3 linked regions of the Tribolium castaneum genome follow. The protein of the gene in region 2 interacts with the protein of the main gene of each other region in a pairwise test. Links are inferred from orthologs where the notes say so. Each region holds a gene or a part of one and is shown on either strand. Other genes may lie near its edges. The genes, in order: Trim9, fra and trio.

Region 1 (4,126 bases), on a different chromosome or scaffold from region 2:
AATCGGCGATTGAAAATTGAAAAATTTTTTGCGAGATATCGCCTTGAGTCCTATGCCATTTTGTAGAGTTTTTTATTCCGGTTGTCCTCGATTTTTCCGTTTCTCAATAACTCTAATAGTTTCGCCGTAATTGGCGGTTGAAAATTGAAAAAAAGTGAAAATAGAAACCTTTTTTTGCGTTTTTCTCGGAAACTGTAAGACTTAGAGCAACGAACAAAAAACCATCTGATAGCGCTTAATTTTCTCTATTTATTCGATTAAACCCGGAGCCGCTCCGGGCAACGGTTCCGGCTACAGAGGCGATCAAAGTTTTTCACTAAAAAAATTCATAAAAAAAAAACTAAAAGTCGTAGAGCATTGCGGTTTGTTCGATTGAATTCTACGGCTCATTTTACATATTATATCAATTTTTCACAAAAATTAAAAATTTTAAATTTTTTGCCTAAATTTAGGGTAGCCATTTGTCATAGTGGAAAATTTTATCCAACAAAAAAATTCATAACTCAAAAACTAAAAGTCATAGAGCAATGCGGTTTGTTCCATTGAATTCAGCGGTTCATTTTCTGTATTATACGAACTTTTCATGAGATTTAAAAATTTTATTTTTTTTGCTAAAATTTCCTGAGTAGTAACACTTATCTTCAAGAAAGTGAAAAAATTATTTTTTTTTTAATTCGTTCTATCATATTTTTTCGTATTTATATATGCCTTTACAACTCTCTAGAGTTGTTAAAAGTCCAAAAAAAGTCTATATGTTCGATTTTTCGATGTTTGATTTTTTCAATTTTCGTCGCAATTTTTGTCGATTTTGGGTACCCGGAACATTTGTTGAGCAATAGCTTCGGAACTATCAAAGATAACCCCATGAAGTTTATTATCGTTGGAAAGCTCTTTAAATTATCTATTTTTTTTTAAAAAAGATTATTGTTCTCCGACTAATAGTTTTCGAGCAAATTGCTGCTAAATGCAAAAATTGGTAAAATTTTAAAAAATTCATAACTAAAAAACTATTGGGAATTTGGCAATTTTCTTGATGCCAATCGATTCCCCGGATCATTTTGCATAGGTATGGATCAAAACAGGTCTCCTTTTTCAAATAGTTTAGTCGTAATTGAGAAAATAAAAAAAAAGTTAACAACTTTTTAAAACAAGTTAAAATGGTCAATTTTAAAAGTGTCTCAGAATCGAATAAAACTTATCCTATCTTATAGATTTTGATGTGCTCTTTACGATGGAAAAAAGAGTTTTCTCCTAGCTCTTTTAGTGTGGCCGTAATCGGCGATTGAAAATTGAAAAAAAGTGAAAATGGAAACATTTTTTTGCGTTTTTCTCGGAAACTGTAAGACTTAGAGCAACGAACAAAAAACCATCTGATAGCGCTTAATTTTCTCTGTTTTTAATAAGAATTGTAATAATAATAAATATTCCTTTAAAACATTTCAAATTATACTTTATTTCCTATTATTGATAGATATGATATAACTACGTAATTTTTACCGATTCAGAAAAGTATTGGCATTAAAAAAAACTAAAAGTGATTTGAAAAACATTTTAAGTTAGAGATTTCAAGAAATCATTCGGACCCCAACACAAAACTTGGACAAATCCGGACGGAAGGCATCCCTATATACTTTGGAAAGAGTACAAGCATTTGTTATGACGACAATCAATAAATTTTGAGTAATTTATTTAAGATACGCTTAAAATGATTGTAAGTTCTTTTTTTTTCAACTCTTTCTTCAAGTGCGGTGCAACCAGACACCCTTATTCCCTATTTAATCATGTTTGCTGTTCCACGCTAATGTATATTTTAGTAGAACATTGTAAAATGAACAAAACCCAAGTGAGATAATTGGATTCCTATGGGTTTTCTTTTCCCGGCGTAATCTTTTGTTCCTTTGACCGTCTCCAAGGCAAACAAAACGTAAAAACTACCTTTTGAGTCTTGCACATGACGGCAAGCGCTTGGACATCATGGGAAGCATGTCTCGAGTCCATCAAACACAAAGCACAGACACCAATCTTGCACACTAAGCAGTACATGTTCAGATTTTCGTCGGAATGCTCCGTGCATTTATCATCCCTATTCCTGAGCATCGTCCCCGAGCAGCGCTTCGGTTCCGCGAGCACATGCTTGGCCAAGGGCCCCCTCGCCGGATGGCAGGACTCGCGGCAAGTCTCGCAGTAAAGCACCTCGCATTGTTCGCACATCACCGTGGCTTCCCTCGCCGGCTCCGTCTCGCACATCTGACATTTCAGCGTCAGATTCCTGACCTCGCTGTACCGCTCGACGATCGCCTGCATGACGCGGTACTTGGGCAGGTTGTGGGCGCCGTTCTCGTCGAAGTACACCAGCTTGTGGCACAGGGGGCAGGCGAGGCTCAGGGCGCTGGGGAACAGGCCGCCGCTGGGGGTGCCCACGTAGCTGTTGGGGCGCGAGGTGCACACCACGCCGCTGTCCGTCTCGCTCAGGATGGACAGCTTGTCGCTCTCCTGGTAGTCCCCGGAGCTGCCGGAGGCCACGCTCTCGGCGTTCTCGGCGCCGGCGGCGCCATGGCTCTGGGCGGGCTGCTGCAGGTGCACGGCGCAGCTGAGGCACAGAGCGTGGAAGCACGGCAGCAGGACGGGGTTGGTGTAGAACTGTTTGCACGACGGACAACGCAACTCCTCCTCCATCGCACGCAACTCACCAAACTCCACTGACGGCACACACCGGCGGGTTTGAAACACGCGGCGAACGGGACACGGAAACGGACGAAAGCCGGCGAGGGTTTGGCCTGGTGCTGCTGCTGTTATTGTTGGCGGCAGATGGAGATGGATGGGAGGGTTGAGGTCGACGACATATTTTTTACTTCGATTTTGTGCTTTTTGGTTTGTTTCGTACGGATTTTGCGGTCAAGCACGAGAGGACAACCTGAATGCAGCGGCCGACAGCGCAATTTTCAAGCGTTACTTACATACATCATTTTAAATTACACTTTAGTACCATGTAAAATGATAAATGTTACTTCTAGCGTCTTAAAAAATAAAGCAGAATCCCAAAAATTTCGCTGTTTTTCTTATTTGTTCAATTAATCACGCATTTAATTGTAGATTAACTTAATGACGCTTCTATAAACCGACCCCTAATATCCTACAAAAAGCACAGATTTTTATGTACCCCCAAAAAAGTACCACTGTTGTTATTTCTGGACCAAGAGGTGAGAGCACTTGACTAAAAGTTGTCCTTTTTTTTAAATAAATGCTAACTTGAGTTAGCTGTACGTATTACCTACCCCTAAAACTAGAGCTGTCAGAAAAAAGCAGTTTTGAAACCAGCGACCAACAATTAAGAAACAAAAAAATATGAGGACTGTAAACTAGTGGTTAGATTTCTTCAAAAACTTGTGACTGTTTTGTAAAAATGACACCACAATAGAATGCGCATATTTGAAATTTATTGAATAAAAATTTGTAAATTGTAACCCAAAGATTAATAAATATGTCTTTGTGGGTACTTATAATTTTAGGCGGAAATTATCAGGAAAAATTCGTTTGTTTAGAAAGTTGGTAAACAGTAACAGTAGCTTCGTTACACATGCGACCACAACATATTTGTTTGTTTTTGTCTTTTATAAACCGTGGATTAAACTCACTTTTACATTTTAACTTAAAAAATTATAGTTATTTATGTAGGACAAGTCTATTAAAAGTACATTTTTACTGAATCGGTATACTAATCACACGCAAACTAAAATGCTTCATTGTTTTCTCTTTGTGTGTTATTTAGTTCCTTATAATCGAAATTACAAAAATTTTTAGTTATGTGTCGGTTTGTTAAAATACTATTTAAATAAATTAAAAAAATAAGCCCCAAAAATTGTTTATCCAAAAAATCTTACAATATTTTTGTGAATAAAACACTATATTTTGAGCATTTTGTTAGTCATGATGTTTTTAGATTTTAGTTTTTAAAATAATTGTATCTCATTGTCAAAAATAATACTACAACGAAAAATACAATTTCTGAACGTAAAAAAACTTTCTAAACATAAAATACAATCAAAAATTCTTTCTCAGCAAATTTTATTTAAAAATACATACATTACCATTATTTTACCTAGCGTTTATTAGTATCCATTTTTAA
Region 2 (3,655 bases):
TTAATTTTTCCTTTTGGAAGCAAATTGCTGTTTATCCCGATGCAAATGATAAGCTCAGGCCCGAAAAATAAATCATCTGATCAATGGCGGGATTGTTTGTTTTGGAACTTCGTGAAAAGTTTGAAAAGCCGCAAAGCTAATCAAAGGATTAATTCCAAATTAGGCGTTGCCGAAATGTAAATGAAATTAATTCGGTGAAGGCGACAAAGTTTGTGAATTTTTCGCCGTAATTTGAATAAATGAATTCTACTCACTGGCTACATTCAGCGTGGCCGCTTTGCTCACAATGGAGCCGACGTTCGGCAGCGAAGCCATGCATTGGTAAGTCCCCGTCAATCTTTGTTCTTCCAACACGCTATTTATATACAGTGAGCCGTTTGTAAGCTGAGACCTAGAAGTAATTCGAGTCGTAGACGGTTTAATTAAATTCATCTTTGGTGAATCGATACCTGTACAGATCGCCCAAATACGTCAGTTTTTGGCGGTCCTGGTCCAGCCACTGGATCAGGACGCTGGCTGGATGGGACGACTTAATGACGCAGTCCAGAACGGCCGATTGCCCCGATTCCACGACTGTGTCCGTCGGCTCCACCGTAAACTCCAGCACATGACCTGAAACGAACAAAACACCGGCTTTATTCGCCCGAATCGTAAAACTCTCAAGTAAACAAATACTTAAAACGGGCGTAAAATACGAAAAATTAAGTCAGGGAGTGGCTATTACCGCTCGAAATGGTCGGTAACGACAGCTGAGTCCGGTCAACCCTCGGAATACACAAAATTGGAAAATTGGCCCACATATGGTGGGACAACAGTTGCTCTTATCGGTAAATCGTTATTTATTGCTGACCCCTTATCTCAGCATGTGTACATTTGTTAAATTTCCAATCAATGAAAAGTCAGACGTGATGTGTCATAGGGGGCAGGGGTCCGAGCTAGACTGGCTCAGAATTTTAAATGTGGACGGAATAATGAATAAACTGATTGCTCTGTGGCATAATTACGGCTCTGCGTGATCAGATTTTATTTAATTTACGCCACCAAACGAAAATAAGCACGATTTTTCAAAAAACATCAAAGAGAAAACAATTTCCTAAATTGTAAAACTGTACAATAAAATAAAATCTTCCCATCGTACAATTAGTTTCAATTCAATTAATCTATCCAATAATATTATCGTTTGATTCAAAAAATTGGAAATAATTGGATAGAAATTCTTTCATTAAAACATAGTATAACTTCCGGTGAGTATAACCTGATCAAAGTGTATTTAAAAGTCCGATATAAAAATTAATATTGTCTGTATTGCCAAGAAAGTTGATGACTAATTTTACGTGTGGGCAAGTCTACCGGACTCAAAATATTATTTTAAATTTTTTAAATCGTATCATAAAACTAATTTGATTCAGTTTTATCTTAACAATTTTTATTGTTTGTGTGAGGGTTTCTAACGTAATTACCTAAGTAACACAGTAAAACCTCTCAACAACGGACACCGATGGAGAATTTTTAATTGTCCACTAATAAGAGGTAGGCAATTTTAATATTTAAAAACAGGTATCTTTCGTATTAATTAATTATTATTGAACTGCCCACAAAACATATTCAAATTAAAACAGCAGCAAAAATATATTTTATAAAAAATATTTTACTCGCACGCAGAATTCTTGGATAAATTTTAATATGATAATAATATTATTATAAACATTTCATTGTTAAACTTATTATAACAATTTTTTTTTAATAAAAAAAATAAATAAACTGATCCCTTACAAAATCTTCAGTTTTTGTTTGGTTGTTTTTAGGAGACAATAATTTTTTACAAGACGCATAAACTCAGATATTTTTTGAACAGACGCAAAATATTCAGACAGCATGATTTTACTGTGGTGCTAAGGCAAGTTTCCGCTTTATCACTATCATCTTCATCAATCTTTTCATCATGTTTTTCTAAAAAAAACTGCGTACACTCCTCGACATTTAACTCTCCATTTTCGGTATAGAATTTTTCATCCATTATTACAAAGTCCATGAAATAAATGTACGTTCTTTGCGCCACCATTTTTTTTCATTCTCTCCGTTGTAAGAGGTAAATTTATATGTTAATGTAAATGGGGATTTTTTTCGTTCGCGTCCGCTATACAGAGGGTCCGTTGAGAGAGGTTTCACTGTATTAAAATAAGTTTTAAAGAAAAACTTTTGTTACTAATCCTAAAGAAAGCTAAAGGAAAAAAAATTCAGGACGTTCTTAATAAACTCCCCCATTTTTATGAATAGCTTCGAAAAACCCTTTTGAAATGGATGAAGGAAGAGTTGAAAATACTTTGAAGTGTTGTATGATAATTTGGTTCCATTTTTGTAACGAAACAGTTGCTTTTTCAACAAAATAACACCAGAAATTTTGTTCGTAAAGTCCGAAAACTGTTTCGCTCTATTAGCTTGGGGAAAAAATATGTCAGCTAAAGGCTTTTGTTGCCTTAGTTTAAACCCTTTTTGAGACTCTTTAAGGAACGAGAAAGTTTGCTGCTAAAAACAGATAAATTTTACGAAAAACAGCTAAATCTTAGCGAAACAGGTAAGAATAAATAGTACCTAAACAATAGAACTTCATACAAAACCATCTAATACATAATTTGTCTAACCCTGAAGACAAATGCGCTATAAACTTGCTGCATGCATATCAAAAAAGTTTTCGAAAAATGGATCTTGGTGCTTTCGTTATGCACCAGAATTTATCACTTAAAACGAGTAAAAGATTCAAAAACATAAACAAACATTTTTTCTTATTTTATTCAAGTAGTAAGTAGCTGGTAAACAATTTCAATTTGTTCATTAATGAGAAAAGTAACGGCTGCTGCGATTTTTCTTCATATTATTTTGCCCTCATTTACGTGAATTAAGTTCATGCAAGTTGGGCACCCTTCTCCTGAACTGGAGCTGTAGTAAGCTAATGAAGTGAACTTTTACGTCATAGGAAAATTAATCCGTCTGCTGAACGTCCGCCGTTTCCAGAATAACTCGCCGTGTTCTTGTAAAAATCCCCTCCCCCACCTTGGCTCGTTTTTTTCTTTTAATTCCGACTTTATGGCTCGAATTTCCCTCCAGGGTGGTATAATATAAAAGTTTCATTTTTGAAACATGACCCGGAACTTTCGACACGACACCAATTTCCGGTCAAGGGTGCCCAAAAATCGATCACGCTCCGGTTCATTTTTTCAGCATCATGTGTCTAATAGGTCCTTGTTTTAAACCGGATGGCATGCACAATAGAAATGCGATATATTGCTGTGCTAACATGACGCGGTGCGTTGAAATGCCCCTTTGTCGAGGAGTATAATGGATTCAAACATCTGTTGGGAGGACTAGAGGTCTACGCTTCTTATCAACGATCTGACATCTCGGTGTGCATTTTTAGTTTCATATTTTAATTTATTCCGGGACAAGATTTATTGACGCCATTTTCGAATCGTAATTACAATGCCTGCTGCTTCTAATTGAATGTTATTTTCGTACAGCGAGATTGCACAATAAATCATATGTGGTGTTACAAAAATTTATTCAATGGGCCCGCTGAATACAATGCCGCTGGGCAAGGCACCTCAAAAATATCTAATTAAGCACACACGTCCAGATCGCTTTTTCAATAGGCACTTCC
Region 3 (4,177 bases), on a different chromosome or scaffold from region 2:
ATTGTACGCTTTCGACGTAATTTCTTCTAATTGTGTTGTTAGTTATTTAAAATATGGGCACCATATGCGCAATATTCTTGGTAAATTTAATAACACACTCCCCGACTCGATATTAACGTTACAATAAATAAACTTTTCTCCTCGTTGCTTTTTTGCGTGAGAAAACATCATTTTAGTGCATAATTTAATCACCATTTTATAGAACGCTGAGTGGAAACAGACCGTATTATAATGTCCGTTATTTATTCGCAGATAGCTTAGAAAGTGTAACAGGATTTGTTACACTAGATCCAATTGAACAATGGCGGAAAATGCGGAAAATTTAAACTTCCACTGATCAAAAAATGACCATTGAGTGGTTAAGCTATAACTCGCGCTTGCATAATTTACGTGAAGTTGGAGAAAAAATACTTGCTTGGGAATGGACATAAGATATTGCAAAAGGCGTTTGTAATCCTCCGGTTTAGCACGTTCTCTGCGAGGACTGGCAGGAAATGATAGCACAGGACCTCCACGCCTGTCACGGCCACCGGTCAAAATCACAAGCCGTTCCTGCAATAGAGGCATCAGTTCCAAAGCACGTTGTCCGTCCATGTTTTGAGCTGGAAAGAAAAACGAAATTAGCGCCAATTCACGTCACTAAAAGACTTAATCGATTGATGAAGCACTCTCAACTACTTAGCAGGTTTAATAACCCTCACACCTCGTTTCACACCGCTTAAAGCGATCGATGTCAAATGTGATTAAATTGCTTATGGAGTATTTATTTTGCGATCAGTCCGATTTTTATGTAGGCCTTTACAGTAATAACGAACCTTTTCCAGTTCATTTACCGCCGAACGTCCTGGGTAAAAATAAAAGTGAGGCGCAATTTGAACCGGAAAATGATCAATACTAACCAAAAGTGAAACGTGTTATTTAATTCCCGAATAATGGTAAATTATGTATGGGTTGAATAAACAAAAAATTTCATTTCATTCAAATGTCGCACGTTTTGGGACAGGATTATAATATTCAGTGGGTTTCAGAGGAGCTTAATGTTTTATTCTCCGTGTCATAAAGATTCCGAGACTTACGTCTTTAATTTTCCTTTCTTCATAAAGGTCGCAGTCTTTAGAGAGAAAAGAGGAAATGCAAATGTAAATCCAGCAAAAATTATCTTCTCCAAGATCGAACACTCGACACAAATGAACGTAACATGTGGGTTGAATAGAAAATAAGGAAGGTTTTGTTTTGCCACAGATGTTGAACACTTTAAACGTCCTTGGAACTTTAAGATTCACGATCGCGAAACTAATTAAAGTCGGGAATTTTTAATCAAGGGATGAAAGATATTTCATTAAGGGATTTCCGATCAATTGTTAAGTGATTTTAGAAATTGTACAGTAAATACTCGGTTGGTAAATAAAATTATTTCGCATTAAGCGAAGGTCTTTGATGCTACATAATGAACTAAATAAAATTTATCTCTGGGAAAATTGTCGCATCCAGTCTGCATAAAGCGAAACATAAAATAAACGAGTCACATCACATCATTTCACATTCAAATTTTACGTAATAAAAATGAAAGTCGAGATTCACTACGGAAAAATTGAATTAATTTCCACTCCCATCCCAAATTGTTTTCCACCAAATTAAAAAACTTTTTCCGTACATTATTGCTTCCCGATTTCTGTCATATCGTGAACTCGAAACAGGCAAAGCGGATTAGATGTTCAACGTCAGATTACTTGTGGTAAAACTCACGATTTTCGGAGTAATGAGACTGCAAATTAAACTAATTTGTTTAAGCTCAATTAAATGTTGCGCCTCCGATAACAAGATTTCAAAACATCATCTACGCCCCAAAAATAGACTGTCAGCGCTTCCCAATTTCTCTTCGTGTGTTGTAGATTAATCATAAATCATTCCGGCTGACGTTTATGCTAAAAATAATATGCACAGGTTGCGCAAAAAGGTGCAATGTCTTAAATTAGGGACAGTGTTCTGAAGAATAAATCTGTCACGAGTGAACAATTTTTTATTGAAGTGGTTTTTCTCGCTCATAAATGACACGTGAATTCATTCATATTCTGGTAAAACCTAAATAAAATGTAAAAGTAACAAAGTTTGACACGTTCCCCGAACTGTGCGAAAAATCTATCACGGAAAGTTGCCATTGTTTGCAGTCCGATTGTTCAATGTTTTCAACAGAATTTGGTAAAATTCTCTATACATTATCTAATCCTGATCACACTTCTATTGACAAAGTGGGTATAATATTTTTGATCCATAAAAGTGGGCCCTTTTCCAGGCCGCCCAACATTGTGTAGTGTACGTTTATTTATCATAAAATAGAAGTGCAGAAATATTTACTAAACATTCTGTTCCCCCGTTTCAACAGTTTGTTTCTTTCGTAAATGCATTCCTTGAGCAAACATTCACATTTGTGTTTTATTTCCACGTCTTCGAATTTTCATTGTGCTGTGTTTTTGTTGGAAAAGCAGTTAACACGACAGTTAAGTAAACGATTAATTTGAACAGATTTACAAAAAGAAACCAGTAAATTACCAACAAGCCGTCTTGTTCGGTGGACTGTATTGGGTGACCCAATGGAACTGTGCCAACTGTGAGGGCGACGTCTGGAACCTACTGAAGTTTCAGCCTTCGTCCTGAAGGCGGACGCTGTTCTGCTTGAACTAGCCATGGATACCATCAAAAATGTGATGATCCACTGCACTTCTAACTTGATTTTATTTAAATCAGCCAACGTGTATTTATTTTTGCGAACTTATTTTGAGAGTTTTTGGAAATACACTCTGTTATTCATATTTTCAGTTCTCGGTAGCATTTACCCGAATAAAATAACAAATCAGTTCGTAATTTTACTGCAACAACAAGCAAAAATTGATAAGTGGTATTAATAAGCGCCTCCTTCCAATAATTGTTCAACAATTAGAATATGATGAAAACATTTCTGATCACAGTAATTCGATAAATCGCCCATGGCGTTCAAATTAAAAGGCAATCTTATTTCAATTAGATTTAATATTCCCTTTGAATCTCGGTTTGGGTAAAAACAAATTATCCACCTAACAGCCACTGATCAAAATGCAATAAAGTTGTTGAAACTTGGGTTAGTTTCCAAGCGTCAAATTTGTAGAAACTCGCAACTTGGCGAGGCACGTGTTCGGAGTTTTGAAGAATACGAACACAGGGGCGAAGGCTCTCCTTGTCTGACGTTACCCAGGAATGCCATATCAAAGAATACAGCAGAAATGCGGAATCGATACTCCCATTCGCTTATGGGTACTATTCCTTGTTCAGCCTCCAAGTTAAGCAGATTACCAAAATGATGAGTTTTCATAACGGTTATTTACGCCCTCAGATATGATAATGCGGAGTTCAGCACGCAAATGAAAATTGCGACTTTATTATTAGGCGATTAAAGACACTTAAAATCAATAACTGCAAAAAATTCTTCGGCCAAAAATAGGAACCGGAAATTGCATTCTTGCAAGCTCACTTAAAATCGACCTAGTTTTTGACAAAAGATTAAACGCTCTCATTACCTTAATTGCCAGCTGAAGTAATTATTAATTACTTAAGCCCCAGAAGTGACAAATCCTAACCAAGTCATGGAAAACGAAAAGTTTTCATCATAGAATAATGAATTAAACGGGTTTATGTTAATGGTTTGCTTGCACAACAAAGTACATACCAAAAGGAAGCCTCACACTCTTTTTCCTACAATAATGCATTCCATAAACATGTAAATTTTTATATTCATATGTAACATGTTTCCAATAACAATCATTAACAAATTTGTTCAAGAGTTGCACAAAAACTTCCTTTGCATTTAGAAAGGATAAACAAAGAAACTGCAAGGAGTAACCACGTGTGACAATTCAGCTGCACGTAACATTACTATGCTGCAGAGCTGCTCGAGAATGTTTCACAAAATAACAAATAACAAGATTAGGTAAATTTATTGGCTGTTGTTGTAAAATAAAAACATTCACATCTCGCGATTGCGACCGTTGTGGTTGTTTTCCGGCAGATCCGCACTTTGGACAAAAAGGAACTGCTGCGTCGTGACGCCTGTCGTCTTCACTATCGGAATTTGTGAAGCGCAGTCGCGTACACACCGGAAAGGGAAATACCTCCTTAATGAACATATGCGACGTATCTTACCCTA

What was found.
Region 1: the proteins of fra (region 2) and Trim9 interact in a two-hybrid assay, tested with the Caenorhabditis elegans proteins (2 studies listed by BioGRID). The link is inferred for Tribolium castaneum from reciprocal best matches to the Caenorhabditis elegans genes unc-40 and madd-2.
Region 3: the proteins of fra (region 2) and trio interact in a two-hybrid assay, tested with the Caenorhabditis elegans proteins (2 studies listed by BioGRID). The link is inferred for Tribolium castaneum from reciprocal best matches to the Caenorhabditis elegans genes unc-40 and unc-73.

The regions. Positions count from the first base shown.
Region 1 is NC_087402.1:3,125,159-3,129,284, forward strand, and holds the start of Trim9 (E3 ubiquitin-protein ligase TRIM9), read right to left. Parts: upstream 2,934-4,126; 5' UTR 2,677-2,933; coding exon 1,936-2,676; intron 1-1,935.
Region 2 is NC_087396.1:13,003,279-13,006,933, reverse strand, and holds part of fra (neogenin), read right to left. Parts: intron 613-3,655; coding exon 450-612; intron 392-449; coding exon 255-391; intron 1-254.
Region 3 is NC_087394.1:33,647,449-33,651,625, reverse strand, and holds the start of trio (kalirin), read right to left. Parts: upstream 2,818-4,177; 5' UTR 2,696-2,817; coding exon 2,551-2,695; intron 603-2,550; coding exon 416-602; intron 1-415.